3 linked regions of the Schizosaccharomyces pombe genome follow. The protein of the gene in region 3 purifies or fractionates together with the protein of the main gene of each other region. This does not show direct contact. Each region holds a gene or a part of one and is shown on either strand. Other genes may lie near its edges. The genes, in order: apc5, apc14 and apc13.

Evidence for each region.
Region 1: the proteins of apc13 (region 3) and apc5 purify together in Schizosaccharomyces pombe (affinity purification with mass spectrometry, with the first as the bait; one study listed by BioGRID). This does not show direct contact.
Region 2: the proteins of apc13 (region 3) and apc14 purify together in Schizosaccharomyces pombe (affinity purification with mass spectrometry, with the first as the bait; one study listed by BioGRID). This does not show direct contact.

Annotation. Positions count from the first base shown.
Region 1 is NC_003424.3:3,400,542-3,406,059, reverse strand, and holds apc5 (anaphase-promoting complex platform subcomplex scaffold TPR subunit Apc5), read left to right. Parts: upstream 1-1,917; 5' UTR 1,918-2,068; coding exon 2,069-2,269; exon of another isoform or gene 2,270-2,330; coding exon 2,331-2,435; exon of another isoform or gene 2,436-2,483; coding exon 2,484-2,820; intron 2,821-2,864; coding exon 2,865-2,924; intron 2,925-3,010; coding exon 3,011-3,104; intron 3,105-3,148; exon of another isoform or gene 3,149-3,154; coding exon 3,155-3,922; intron 3,923-3,972; coding exon 3,973-4,099; intron 4,100-4,133; exon of another isoform or gene 4,134-4,146; coding exon 4,147-4,242; exon of another isoform or gene 4,243-4,288; coding exon 4,289-4,589; exon of another isoform or gene 4,590-4,635; coding exon 4,636-4,781; 3' UTR 4,782-4,969; downstream 4,970-5,518. Other genes in the region: rpl2102 (60S ribosomal protein eL21), read right to left, coding at 5,036-5,518.
Region 2 is NC_003424.3:4,517,286-4,520,471, forward strand, and holds apc14 (anaphase-promoting complex subunit Apc14), read right to left. Parts: upstream 1,223-3,186; 5' UTR 1,012-1,222; coding exon 688-1,011; 3' UTR 548-687; downstream 1-547. Other genes in the region: omt2 (4-alpha-hydroxytetrahydrobiopterin dehydratase), read left to right, coding at 257-547; etf1 (electron transfer flavoprotein alpha subunit), read left to right, coding at 1,761-2,786. UniProt on the Schizosaccharomyces pombe protein: Component of the anaphase promoting complex/cyclosome (APC/C), a cell cycle-regulated E3 ubiquitin-protein ligase complex that controls progression through mitosis and the G1 phase of the cell cycle.
Region 3 is NC_003423.3:1,834,374-1,837,211, forward strand, and holds apc13 (anaphase-promoting complex TPR lobe accessory factor Apc13), read right to left. Parts: upstream 983-2,838; 5' UTR 923-982; coding exon 515-922; downstream 1-514. Other genes in the region: SPOM_SPBC9B6.11C (CCR4/nocturin family endoribonuclease), read right to left, coding at 1-76, 206-431; SPOM_SPBC28E12.02 (BICC1 family RNA-binding protein), read left to right, coding at 1,954-2,838. UniProt on the Schizosaccharomyces pombe protein: Component of the anaphase promoting complex/cyclosome (APC/C), a cell cycle-regulated E3 ubiquitin-protein ligase complex that controls progression through mitosis and the G1 phase of the cell cycle.

The sequences.
Region 1 (5,518 bases), on a different chromosome or scaffold from region 3:
TAGGGAATTTAACGATGTCTATGGTTTTGCATCCTTTATTTTTGGTTTAGAGAATATAATGGTGCTTTATTATTATATGATACTGAAAATAACAAGAAATTGCATTAACTTCTAAAATAAAATTTGACTAGGAACCCTTCTTTTATATATACATGAATTCGCTAAGTCCTCGGATCCCTCAATCCGGTAATACGCTGCCAAATTGAAAGAGTTCAAATCGCTTTTTATATCCGGCTACGAAGGGGGATCTATTAACCAGCATATTGACAAATTCCCGACAGCGATAATGATTTTGAAGGGGAACGGATAGCTGCATTCATGGTTTCAGGAAACGTGCAGAACTTTTTCTCTACGGAAAAAGAAGTTTGGTTTCAAAATTTTACAAGTAAGCGAGTGCTTACGATTTACTTGTGTAATAGAAAAATATTAATGAATGTTGTTAAAACTGACTTTTATTATTGATATCCCCACGTGGATGTCCACATTTCAAGTTGAAAGTGCTTTTCATGAGCGAGGCTTCCTGTCGAAGATTTAACTGTTTAACCCAAGCGTTGTGTAGAGGGGTAAGATGAATTAGTAGAAAAACTTTAGCTAATATTTTAATAAATTTAAAAAATGAATAGAATTAAGCGTAGCTTAGACATCATTTGAACTTGCACGCTTGTATGATTATCCTTTTTCCTTCGATCGTTCGCTTACTTGATCAAAATGCCTAGCATTTAATTTACAATAGGGACTTTAGTGCATTTAGAGTATACGTTAGAGATTAACCATACTTCGATTGTGTATTTCTTTGATTTCCAATTTTGAATTTAACTTACCTTACTTATAGACAAATATAACCCAATTAACATTTCTTATTCACAAACTTCGAGAGCTAGTTTTATTGCATTCGTTTAGGTAATACAAAACGAAAGTCTACTACAACTGAAATGGTGCTTTCTTTTTCTTCCCAAAATTTATTTATTTACCTTTCTGTCATTAAATGTTGGTCAGCAAATCAATTTGATAATTGTCAAAATGTTAAAAGGGCTTTGTGTATATTAAAAAAAAAAAAAAAAAAAAAAAGAATAAAAGCAATATTTCATCATTTCAATCAATTACTCTATTACTATCAGCTATGACACCCGAATTCTATGCCTACTTATGCATATTTTTAAAAAACCATATAAATAAAAATATGCACTTTTAAAAGGTAAAGGTTAATCGATTTTATTGGATTTATTTAAATAGCATTATTTTAAGCATTGATGATATTTTTAAAATGCATCATAATGAATATCTTTTGAAATTAATGCTTCACAGTTCACAATTAATACCCAAACAAAACATGAGTTTATAGAGACGTGAGTGATTTTTAAATAAAACTTTTCATATGATTATTACTCAATTTAACCCAATAGTAAATAAATTTTTTGTGTGTGCCTGCGAAAAAAAAAAAAAAAAAGAACTATAGAAACAATAAAGATGACAAGGAGAAAATAAAGAATAAAGAAAATCTCTTATAAAATTTGATATCTCAAGCTTTTTATTATTATTTTTGTCCGTTTGTTTATTTTTGTTTACGAACATTTATGAAGACCACTTTCAATCGTGGATAAAGCTGTAAAAATGATGCTTAAATAAAATAAAAATATTGATGATTATGATTATTAACTATATTGAGGTAGTTTATATATCATTCACAATTTCGGTAAGTTCATATGTTTATGCGTATTGTTGACAAATATCACTGAAGAACATAGGAGCAACACAAATTGAAAGAAATAAATATCCGAGAAAATATATCATTCTTGAAAAAATATTAAATTTTTACGTTTACTTCTAGAGATTTAAATGCTTGAATAGTTAGCATATCTTGTAAACATAAGACTACTTACCATAATACTCAACCATCGCACTTCTGAACGTATACATGCCATTTACATATTACTGTTCCAGCCTTCTTCGATAAAGAGGTTTTATTTGGTACATAGAACATTCGAACTGTTTGTGATTGAGAAAATTTGGTGCATTGCTATAAATTATAGGATTGAGAGACGATCGTGTACTGCTTACCTATTTAACCATGCAGAGTCCCGCGATGTCAATGGTAACACCAATATTTCCCATACCTTTAAAAACAAATTCTTCAAAAAAAAATTTTTATACTACCTTTTTGACACCACATAAATTGACGCTATGTTTGCTTATTGAACTTTATGCCCATCGCATCATTCAACCTCAACATTGTGTGCCCTTCCTAGATTTGGTATTGGGATATTTTAATGTAAGAACAACTGACTGAAACAAGATTCTCTTAATCTCGAGTACTAACTGTATATCTCTAGCCCAATGACTCACAACCACAAACACTGACTCGAATTCACGACATAACAAGTCACCTTCCCAGTTCAATTGAAGAATATAGCGTTTACAGTTTATTGCATGAACGTGTATGAAAGAATCATATCAAAAATTGTATTCTAACAACTTTGTTTTAGCTATGGTCCTTGCATTCTTTTGAAGATATTCATGAAATATTCATTTCTCTTGGAAACTACATAGAAGGTGTTTACGATTCTGAAGAAGAGGCCCCCCATATGCTTTTTTCATCGTCTTCACTTTTATCTATTTTCCTTCGAAAGTGTGTTGTGGAATACGAGCAGTTTTCATTCGAACAAGGGGTTCAATTCTTTAAATCATTTCTTCAATACAGAGCTCCCTCAATGGATTTTCAACATGAGGGGATTGAATTCTGTAAGATTAATGTTCGTCATGAGTTAATGAATTTGGCTAGCAATAAGACTCTACTACAGTTGGCATTTGGAAGTATACCAGGTTTGTTTAGTTAATTTGAAATTAATTTTTCCTAACTTTTCTAGTTTCTCGTTCTAGTCGGGATATTGAACAACTCACTCAAGTTCAAATTGAACACATGCAAAGTAGGTTTCATTGGAAAATTTTTAACAATTATATTAACAGCTTTTTAATGCATATTATCTAAGCACTTATTAACTGATTTACGCAGAATTTGGATGTGCTCTTCCATTGGAAATGAAAGAAAAATTGCATGATTTATTAGAAGTTGAAGAAAACAATCTAAATACTAGCTATTATTGCAAGTAAGATACCAAGCACATCTTTCCTGCTAGCAATTAACTAACATACTAAGATTCTTAAATTCCTGGTTTAGTGGTGATTATCAGCAATCCGTGGAAAATCTTTGCAGATATTTTGATCACATTATGCATTCTGATGAAAAGGTTTCTTATCAGTACGCTCTCCTCAATCTTGCCATGCTTCAAGCCGATTTTGGCTGTAATGAAGAAGCTCTTCATGCGATTGAAGATACGATTAATACTGCTCGTGAAAGCGGCGATACTGCTTGTCTTAATTTTGCATTGGCCTGGATGTTTGAGTTTAAGCGGTCACAATACTCGAATCCTTCTCCAGAAAAAAATGAAAACGATGATCAAATACTAGAACATCTTGCGCGTAATAGTCAAAAAGCTCAACTGCCTATATTACAGACGACAGTTCATCTCTTACAGGTCCAAAAATTTTTAGATGATGGATCTAGTTTAATTGGCGTTTTCTCTAATTTGACTAAGGCATTTGCTTTGTTTTGTGCTAATGAATCATTCGATGGTTTCCCTCGGTATATGGACTTGCTACAAAGCATTTGGTATCGTTTAGGATGCTCTATCCTTTCCATGACTTATATTTCGATCTATCAAAAAAATCACGTCCATGATTCTCCTGCACTCGACCTATTACAAAGTCTTATAACTAAGGCATGGAGGTACGCTGAATTAGGAAGATGGTTAGATGTTGCTACAATTTTGTCGACTGCTGAGGTTCAATCACAGCGTTCTTTTCAATGCGCACATTTATATGGCAGAGAAAAAACATTTATCTACTTATCTAAGGCGATTGACGAGTAAGAAATCATTGTTTACAAAAATCAGAAAATTTGCTAATTTTGAAAAGGAAAAATCATATGGATGCTACCCTGTATTTGAAAAATTTAAATGGCTTTAGACACGACAAGATGTCTACTTTTCGAACTCAACTCTACGCTTTAAGGTTGGATATTAGTTTGGGAAATTTAAGTCAGGTAATTAACAAAACATTCGTACCTACATATACTAAACGTGTTACTAGGCCATTGAAGGAATTGATAAATTATTGGAAGAACCGGAAAAACTGGCGATTGAATGGGTGCTGCAGTTGATGTTTTTAAAGGTTGACATTTATATGGTAAGGTGAAGGCTGATTTTAGGCTTATGCTAATGTGAGTGTTTAGAGGACTGAAATGTCAAATCGAGCTGTTTTTGAATTGCTGGAAATAATTCAAATGGCCTCATCAAACTATTTAAGATTGTATCTTCTGAGAGGATTATGCACTTTGTGCTTGATTGGGGAACTGGATTGTTTTACAGCTATCGATCTATTAGATTCACTAATCCCTGACATAATTGCAGCGGATAACAAACCATTACTTGCATTAGCATTTCATGCATTTGCTTCTTTGCAGATTAAACATCTTGACCTTTTGCAGCCTTCACGAATGTTTGTCATTCAGTTGCTTGATAGTGCTATTGATGGTAAGTTGATCAAGATTTTCGAGTTCAATCTCTAATGATTAAATAGGTTATCGGGCCTGTTACATGGTAGAGATGCAAAAAACTGTTGTCCGCCTGAAAATTCAATATTTACGACAAATTAATGATCCTGCACTCCAGCCCAACATTGAGCAATATTGTTCTCGATTCTATTCCGACAATTTGCTAAACTAACACTCGTTTAAATACGATTATACCTTCATACTTTTAACGACAAATCAGCTAATAAATATAATTAAGCAACGGATACTCATGATTAACTAAGATGTACATATATATATTTTATACTAAACGAGGATACGAGCACAATAAATATACTACTTTGTTAAGTCGATGTACAAATGCATTTACAAAAATACAACAATTAAAACTACGAATAATGTCTGATTATTTGATAAACTCCAAAGGAACAGCATTCTTTTTTAAAACTAGATAGTAGTATCATAGGCGACGGGGTGGAGAGTGACGGGCTCGTTATTCTCAGTAGAAACGAAATGAGCCGTAGCAGGAGGAGCAGGTTGACGACGAAGTTGAACAGTCTTACCCTGAGCCTTGGCCTCCTTACGCTTAGCCTCATTGGCCTTAACACGGTCCAAGAAGTCTTGACGGCACTTAGAGTGCTTAACGTGCTCAATACGAACATTGACACGCTTCTCCATGTAGCGGTTACCAACAACCTTGTAGATCAAGACACCAACAGAAGATTGAGTAACGTTGTAAACAACACCAGTCTTGCCATGGTAGTACTTGTGAGGCATACCCTTTTGGACAGCACCATTAACCTTAATGTCGACAATGTCACCAACCTTATAGGTCTTCAAATAAGTGGACAAACGAATTTGACCATGCTCTCTGAAACCACGTTGAAAGGTGTAACGGGTGCGAGCTCTGATACCGTAAGAATGAGGCAT
Region 2 (3,186 bases), on a different chromosome or scaffold from region 3:
TATACAATTAACAAATATAATTCTAATGCTCCTCTGTAGAAGAGGTTCTTTTAGCGTAGTAGCTAAATTTACTCTTTTGATGTTGTGAATAAGACAAGACGATATGATTTCGTTCTCTTTCACATACCAAAGTAAAAGGAGGTAAATTGAGTGTATTAAAACAGTTACGTTCTACACACATCACATTGATATTTTACCTAAATTTTGAAGAAAAACATTTTTTCTGGAATAAACGTTGGTTTAGAAGGTTGAAAAAATGAACACATCAGCTAGATTACTGGCGTTAGTCTCGAAATCAAAAAACAACTGGATTCTTCAACAAGGAGATACAAAACTATTTAAAAGCTTTCGTTTTAAAAACTTCATTGAAGCTTGGGGATTTATGAGCTGTGTCGCATTGCGTGCACAACAGCTAAATCATCATCCCGAATGGACTAATGTATACAATAAAGTGGATATTACGTTGACAACTCACGATACAAAGGGACTTACAGAAAAAGATTTAAAGCTGGCAGAATTTATTGATACACTTGCAAAGGATAACTGAAAGCTGCAACCAAGAGGGTAGTAGCGGAAAACTATCTTGAGACACAGATTGCCAGAAATTATTCTTAATATTTTGAATTAATTTAGTGTTTAGTGATGTGGTGTTTGAAAGGATAAGAATTTATATCATAAACTCATTAATCACCATTCAGCCAACTGGTCAAGTTGTTGAACATGTTTTGTCAGATGCTGCATAATAGCTTGCCTGTATTCTGGAATAGAACTTCTGCTGGAAGCAATTCTGGATATTGCAATTCTACTTGCCCTTTCATTTCTTTCTTGCTCGGCCTCTTCACCACCTATAACATCTCGATAATTCCAAAATTCAATGGCTTTTGAAGCTTCAGGGAGTAGAAGTGGTTTCTTGGCGAGAGGTTTTGGGTTGCCAGACATGGAGAGTCTTTGAAAGACGTTTCCAAAAGTTCGATAACTTTTGGACTGACCAGTACCAGCAAACGGATCCATATGACCTCGAAACGTTTTAATATACAAAAGTAAAAAAAACCCCCGTGAGTACTAAGAGACAATGACTTCAATCATTGATTTGTTCTTCTTTAAAAGAGAACCGTTTAAATATGAAAATTGTAATCTCTTTTGTATTTAAGCAGTAAGTGAAGAGGTTTGGACAAGTGATTAGGAAATTTCACCGATTTTCTTGTTTATTTACTATCTTGTGTGCGTAGTTGAACAAAACTCCTTGCCATCGTTAGAAAGCAATGCTTGTGGTATAAGAATGTGGAGTGTGTTATTAAAATAAAATAGTGAAGTCACCTTTTGTCTCCTAATATCTTAGTGAACTTTAACGTTGATGAACGATTCAATAACTGTAATGCTAAGAAGGATACATTGAGTTTCTCATATTTTTTTTTATTTGAAAAGAATTTTCATTATTATTATTTTTAATGATGCACCTAGTTATTGCAATCGCTATAGACTTTAAACTTTGTATTGAAAGAATTTGTCAAAATATTGGCAGTTGGTTATCAAAAAAAATAAATGTAAGGTATATGAAAATTAGGATGTTTTCATACTCACGAAAAATCATTTCTGGTAGATAAATCACTTAAATATATCACGATTACTTATTTTTAGTTATTTTACCTTTGAAATGTAAGACTGTATTACTTAAGTTTTTTCTTAGTATAATATGTGAACATACATATTGTCAGCGTACATCCTCATTCACCCTCAAACCTACAACGAAGTATTCTAACATGCTAAGGACTACTAGCCGGACATTTTCTAGGGCTTTGTCTTCTTCTAACTTTAAAATAAATTGTGGAAGAAGGCATTGGTTTAGTGTTTTGACGTTGCTTGAGCATCAGGGAGGGAACTTGTCTCCAGCATCCTTGTCAGCAGTAGAAGCAGCAAAGCGTACCGGTGGGGATGTTTTTGGATTTGTAATCGGTAAGGATTCTTCTCAAATTTCTCAAAAGGTAGCAAAATCGGTGAACGATTTGAAAAAGGTTATCTACGTTGAGAATCCGTCATATGAGCATAACATTCCCGATCAAATAGCCAATGTTCTTTTTGAAAATGTTAAGAAAAATGAAATTAGTCATGTTTTTTCTGCTCATTCAACTGTTGGTAAAGGGGTGATGCCTCGTTTGGCTGCTATGTTTGATGTGATGCAGATTAGTGACATTATTGGTGTGGTTTCTGCTGACACATTCGTTCGTCCGACATACGCGGGAAACGTAAACGTTACTGTGTCTACAAAGGATCCTATTAAAATCGTCACCGTTCGTGCATCTGCATTTGACGCCGCTCCTTCAAGTGGTGAAGGAGCAGCCACTGTTGTTGAAGGTATTGATCCAAAACCAGCTGCTCTACAAGAATGGGTTAGTGAGAATATTATAAAGAATGCTAGGCCTGATTTGTCTTCTGCCGAAAGAGTTGTTGCTGGTGGTCGACCTTTGAAAGACAAAGAGACATTTGAACGCATCCTTACACCTTTGGCTGACAAATTGGGTGCAGCAATTGGTGCTACACGTGTTGCCGTGGATTCTGGCTATGCTGATAATTCTTTACAAATAGGTCAAACTGGAAAAATCATCGCCCCAAAGCTTTATATTGCTGTTGGAATTGATGGTGCTATTCAGCATCTTGCCGGAATCAAAGATAGCAAAGTCATTGCTGCTATAAATCGCGATGAAAATGCTCCTATCTTTCAAACAGCAGATGTGGGAATTGTAGGTGACTTATTTGAAATCGTCCCGGAGCTTACTGAAAAACTTTGAAAATCATGTTGAGGAATGATTCCTTATTTTTCATAATATCACATTTATTTCAAATTTCACATCTTTTTAGAAGTTAATAAAATACACGTTTATTTAACTGGGTACTCGTAATAAATTAAGGAAATTTTTGATGTAATATTTAATTATATACCAGTGAAACAACTCTGAAGTCGTTTTATACATACATTTATGAAGCCACCTCAGCAAAGCTATCGTAGGTTGATTATCAAACATTTCAACGTATGAGAAAGAAAGGGATTTTTTTAGCGGTCTAGATATTTAACCAGAGATAAATGATAGAAACATGGAAAACATAGAATACGCATACACTCTCAGCAATACTTCAATGTCATCACAAAGCAAATCTATTAAAAGAAAATAAAATGCAAAGGCCGATTGA
Region 3 (2,838 bases):
CGCTTTATAAAGTCCGTATTGAATTCGGGTGGAGCATTGCTTGGTGGAGCAATAGGTTTTCGAGCAGCCTTCTTAGCTAATAATCAGTTAATAAAATTGAGCAACAAAAAATTAAACAAAGGAGTAGAGATTCGGTCTTAAAAAAAGTTTCACAACAACCTTCTTATTGTTGCTCGACTAGATGAACGAAAATTTTTTTTCATACCCATTTTCTCAAGTTTTTTTTGGCGTTGTTTCTCTATGTATTCAGGCGTTACGAACGAAGGAGGGCCTTTAGCTGAGCCTTTTTTCTTAACGGGTATCGAATCTGCCATCTTGTTCTTTTTCTGATCAAAGAATGATATAGCAAGTTTGGATAATCTATAATCAGTGTGGAATCGATCGATAAAAAACTTCAAAGTCAATGTACACGTTTTAGGACAAGTGTACATACAATGACTTTTGAGTAGACTTTATTTAAGTTTTCACAGCCGAAATGGATTAACGACTGTTGGTTCGTACAACCTCAGGTATATCATCTAAAATACCGCATACTAGCGTGCTCTCCTTGATGCCTTCTGTTCGCTTCAAGAAAAGGAGCCATTGGAGCTTCTTTGACTGATTTGAAAGGATCTGTTTCAAAATTATCTTCAATTGTATTTTTACCCTCGGCATTTGAAGAGCCTTGAATGAATGCAAAGGCATTAACTAAATCTTCGAGTTCCAAATCTTTCCAAGCCGGTTCATGCCTAAGCTGTTTGTTTTTCATTAAGATTAGATTTGCACTAGAATGTTGAATAGTCATCTCATCTTCTGTAACAGGTGGTAAGTGTTCTACTCGCACTTCGACATCGTCAACTGGAAGTCTATCTTTTAGCCAATCCGAGGCAAACAAAACTACTCCCGGTTTATTCATATGAACATAATTGTAATTCGAATCCATTAATTGTTTTACTGATTCCAAGTAGGAGACTTATGGTGCTTTTATACGGTTGGTGTTATTGGAGAAGTCGGTGGTAAGTGTGTAAACAAAGCATTTAGCAGCAAAGTCTACTAGTTGGGGGGAGGGAGATCTTTCCATGAAAATCAATTATAAGAATTCTAGATTAATTTCTTATTCACATAATTCTATGAACTTTTAAGTAGAAATAAAAATCAGTTAGGTGGTTTGCTACTATTCTTCTCAAAACCTTCGTCTCTTAATCTATTTATTCCTATTGGCATGTTATTTTTCTTGATAAATAAGGTAAATATATGTGCTTGCTTAGCTTACAAATTTCAAAGAATGACACTAATAGTGCAATGTTTTACTTAAGCTATGATTGTGTCCAAAACCCTAGCAATACTGACAGAGTTATAATGAAAAATTAAGCGTATATTTCACAATCATATAATCATATTCCCCCTTTTCTGAAAAAATGTCAATGGCAAATCATATACTGTTTTGAGTTAAAGAGGCTTTGGCAGATCATAAATCAGCCATCCTAATTAGTAAAAAGAATACAAAATTGTGATGGTTATGTTAAAAGTATTCCTAGTCATTAGTGCATCACCTTAGAGTCATGTGCTGTATATATATATGTGTCTACCTTTGCATAAACAAACTTGTATTCCACAGTCAAACTAGTACAATACACATCGTTCTGCGAAAACGTTCTGTTTATTTTTCAGCAAAAAATTAAAGTTTAAGCTATCATTCATTGCCAATCGCATATCAATTCCAAGATTTATTCATTGTTTATTTACATTTGGAAGCTAAACAATAACTTTCACGGAAGCAACAACACAACCAACAACCAACCCTTCAGAAGTAACTTTCGGAATAATTTTGTATTCAAACCTATATCGTTTATCATTCCTTTGGATTTCTTTTAATCTTTCTTTCGAACACGAAAAACTTACTCTTCACTAAGCTTCGAAATTTCCAATCAAACGATTTAACAATAAGAAAATTTTGTGCTTAAAATCACCAAAATGGATTCTCATGTTTTAGCATTTCCAATTCCTGATCCATCTACACCTCCTCCCGAAGAGGCATCCCTTTATGCTAGTAAATGTGACTATTATGAAAGCGATATTTACTCTCAAATTAGGAGATTAACCGAAGAAAAGTGCATTGAGACAGAAAAAGAGTTGCCAGTTAATATAAAACTACATGTCAAACATAAAGGAATGAGCATATCATCTTCCCGCAATGAACTAGTGGTTACTGTTTCAGGAAATTATAAAAATGTGTACACTGCAAAAATAAAGATTTTGCAAGCCATTCCCAAAATTCTAATCAGCAAACTTGTGCTCGAAGAACCCCTCGAAAACCTCCTTTTTGATGAAGATGGGTACGTTTATGAAGACACTATGAAACATTTGGACAAAATAACGGAAATAACGGGAGCAAAAATTTATATCATGCATCGTTCCATGTGTCATGATATCGATTTTCAGCTACGTACTGACAGCGGATTCAGCAATCGATTAAATGAACAACAAAGCTTCTACCAAAGGCATTTAGAGTCTACTAGGCATGAATTTTCATGTCAAAAGAACGCAGAGAATTCTTTTTTTATTGTCTTTTATGGTGACTATTGCAGCGTTGAACATGCTAGAATTCGCGTATTAGCATTAATGGATGAAATCAGAGGATTATCGGTAGTAGCTATTGCAACTTCTGTATCTTTTCAGCCAATTCTCGTTGGAAAAGCATTTTCTAGTACTGCCGGAATGAAGGCTACTGAATCAATTAATATTTATACATTACCGTTTTGCAGCGACTCAATCCCTCGGCTTCAAACCTTACCCGCCTTAAACTCAAGTAAAATAATTATTACAGGAGAAGAGGAAAAATTGCAAAGACTCGAAGAG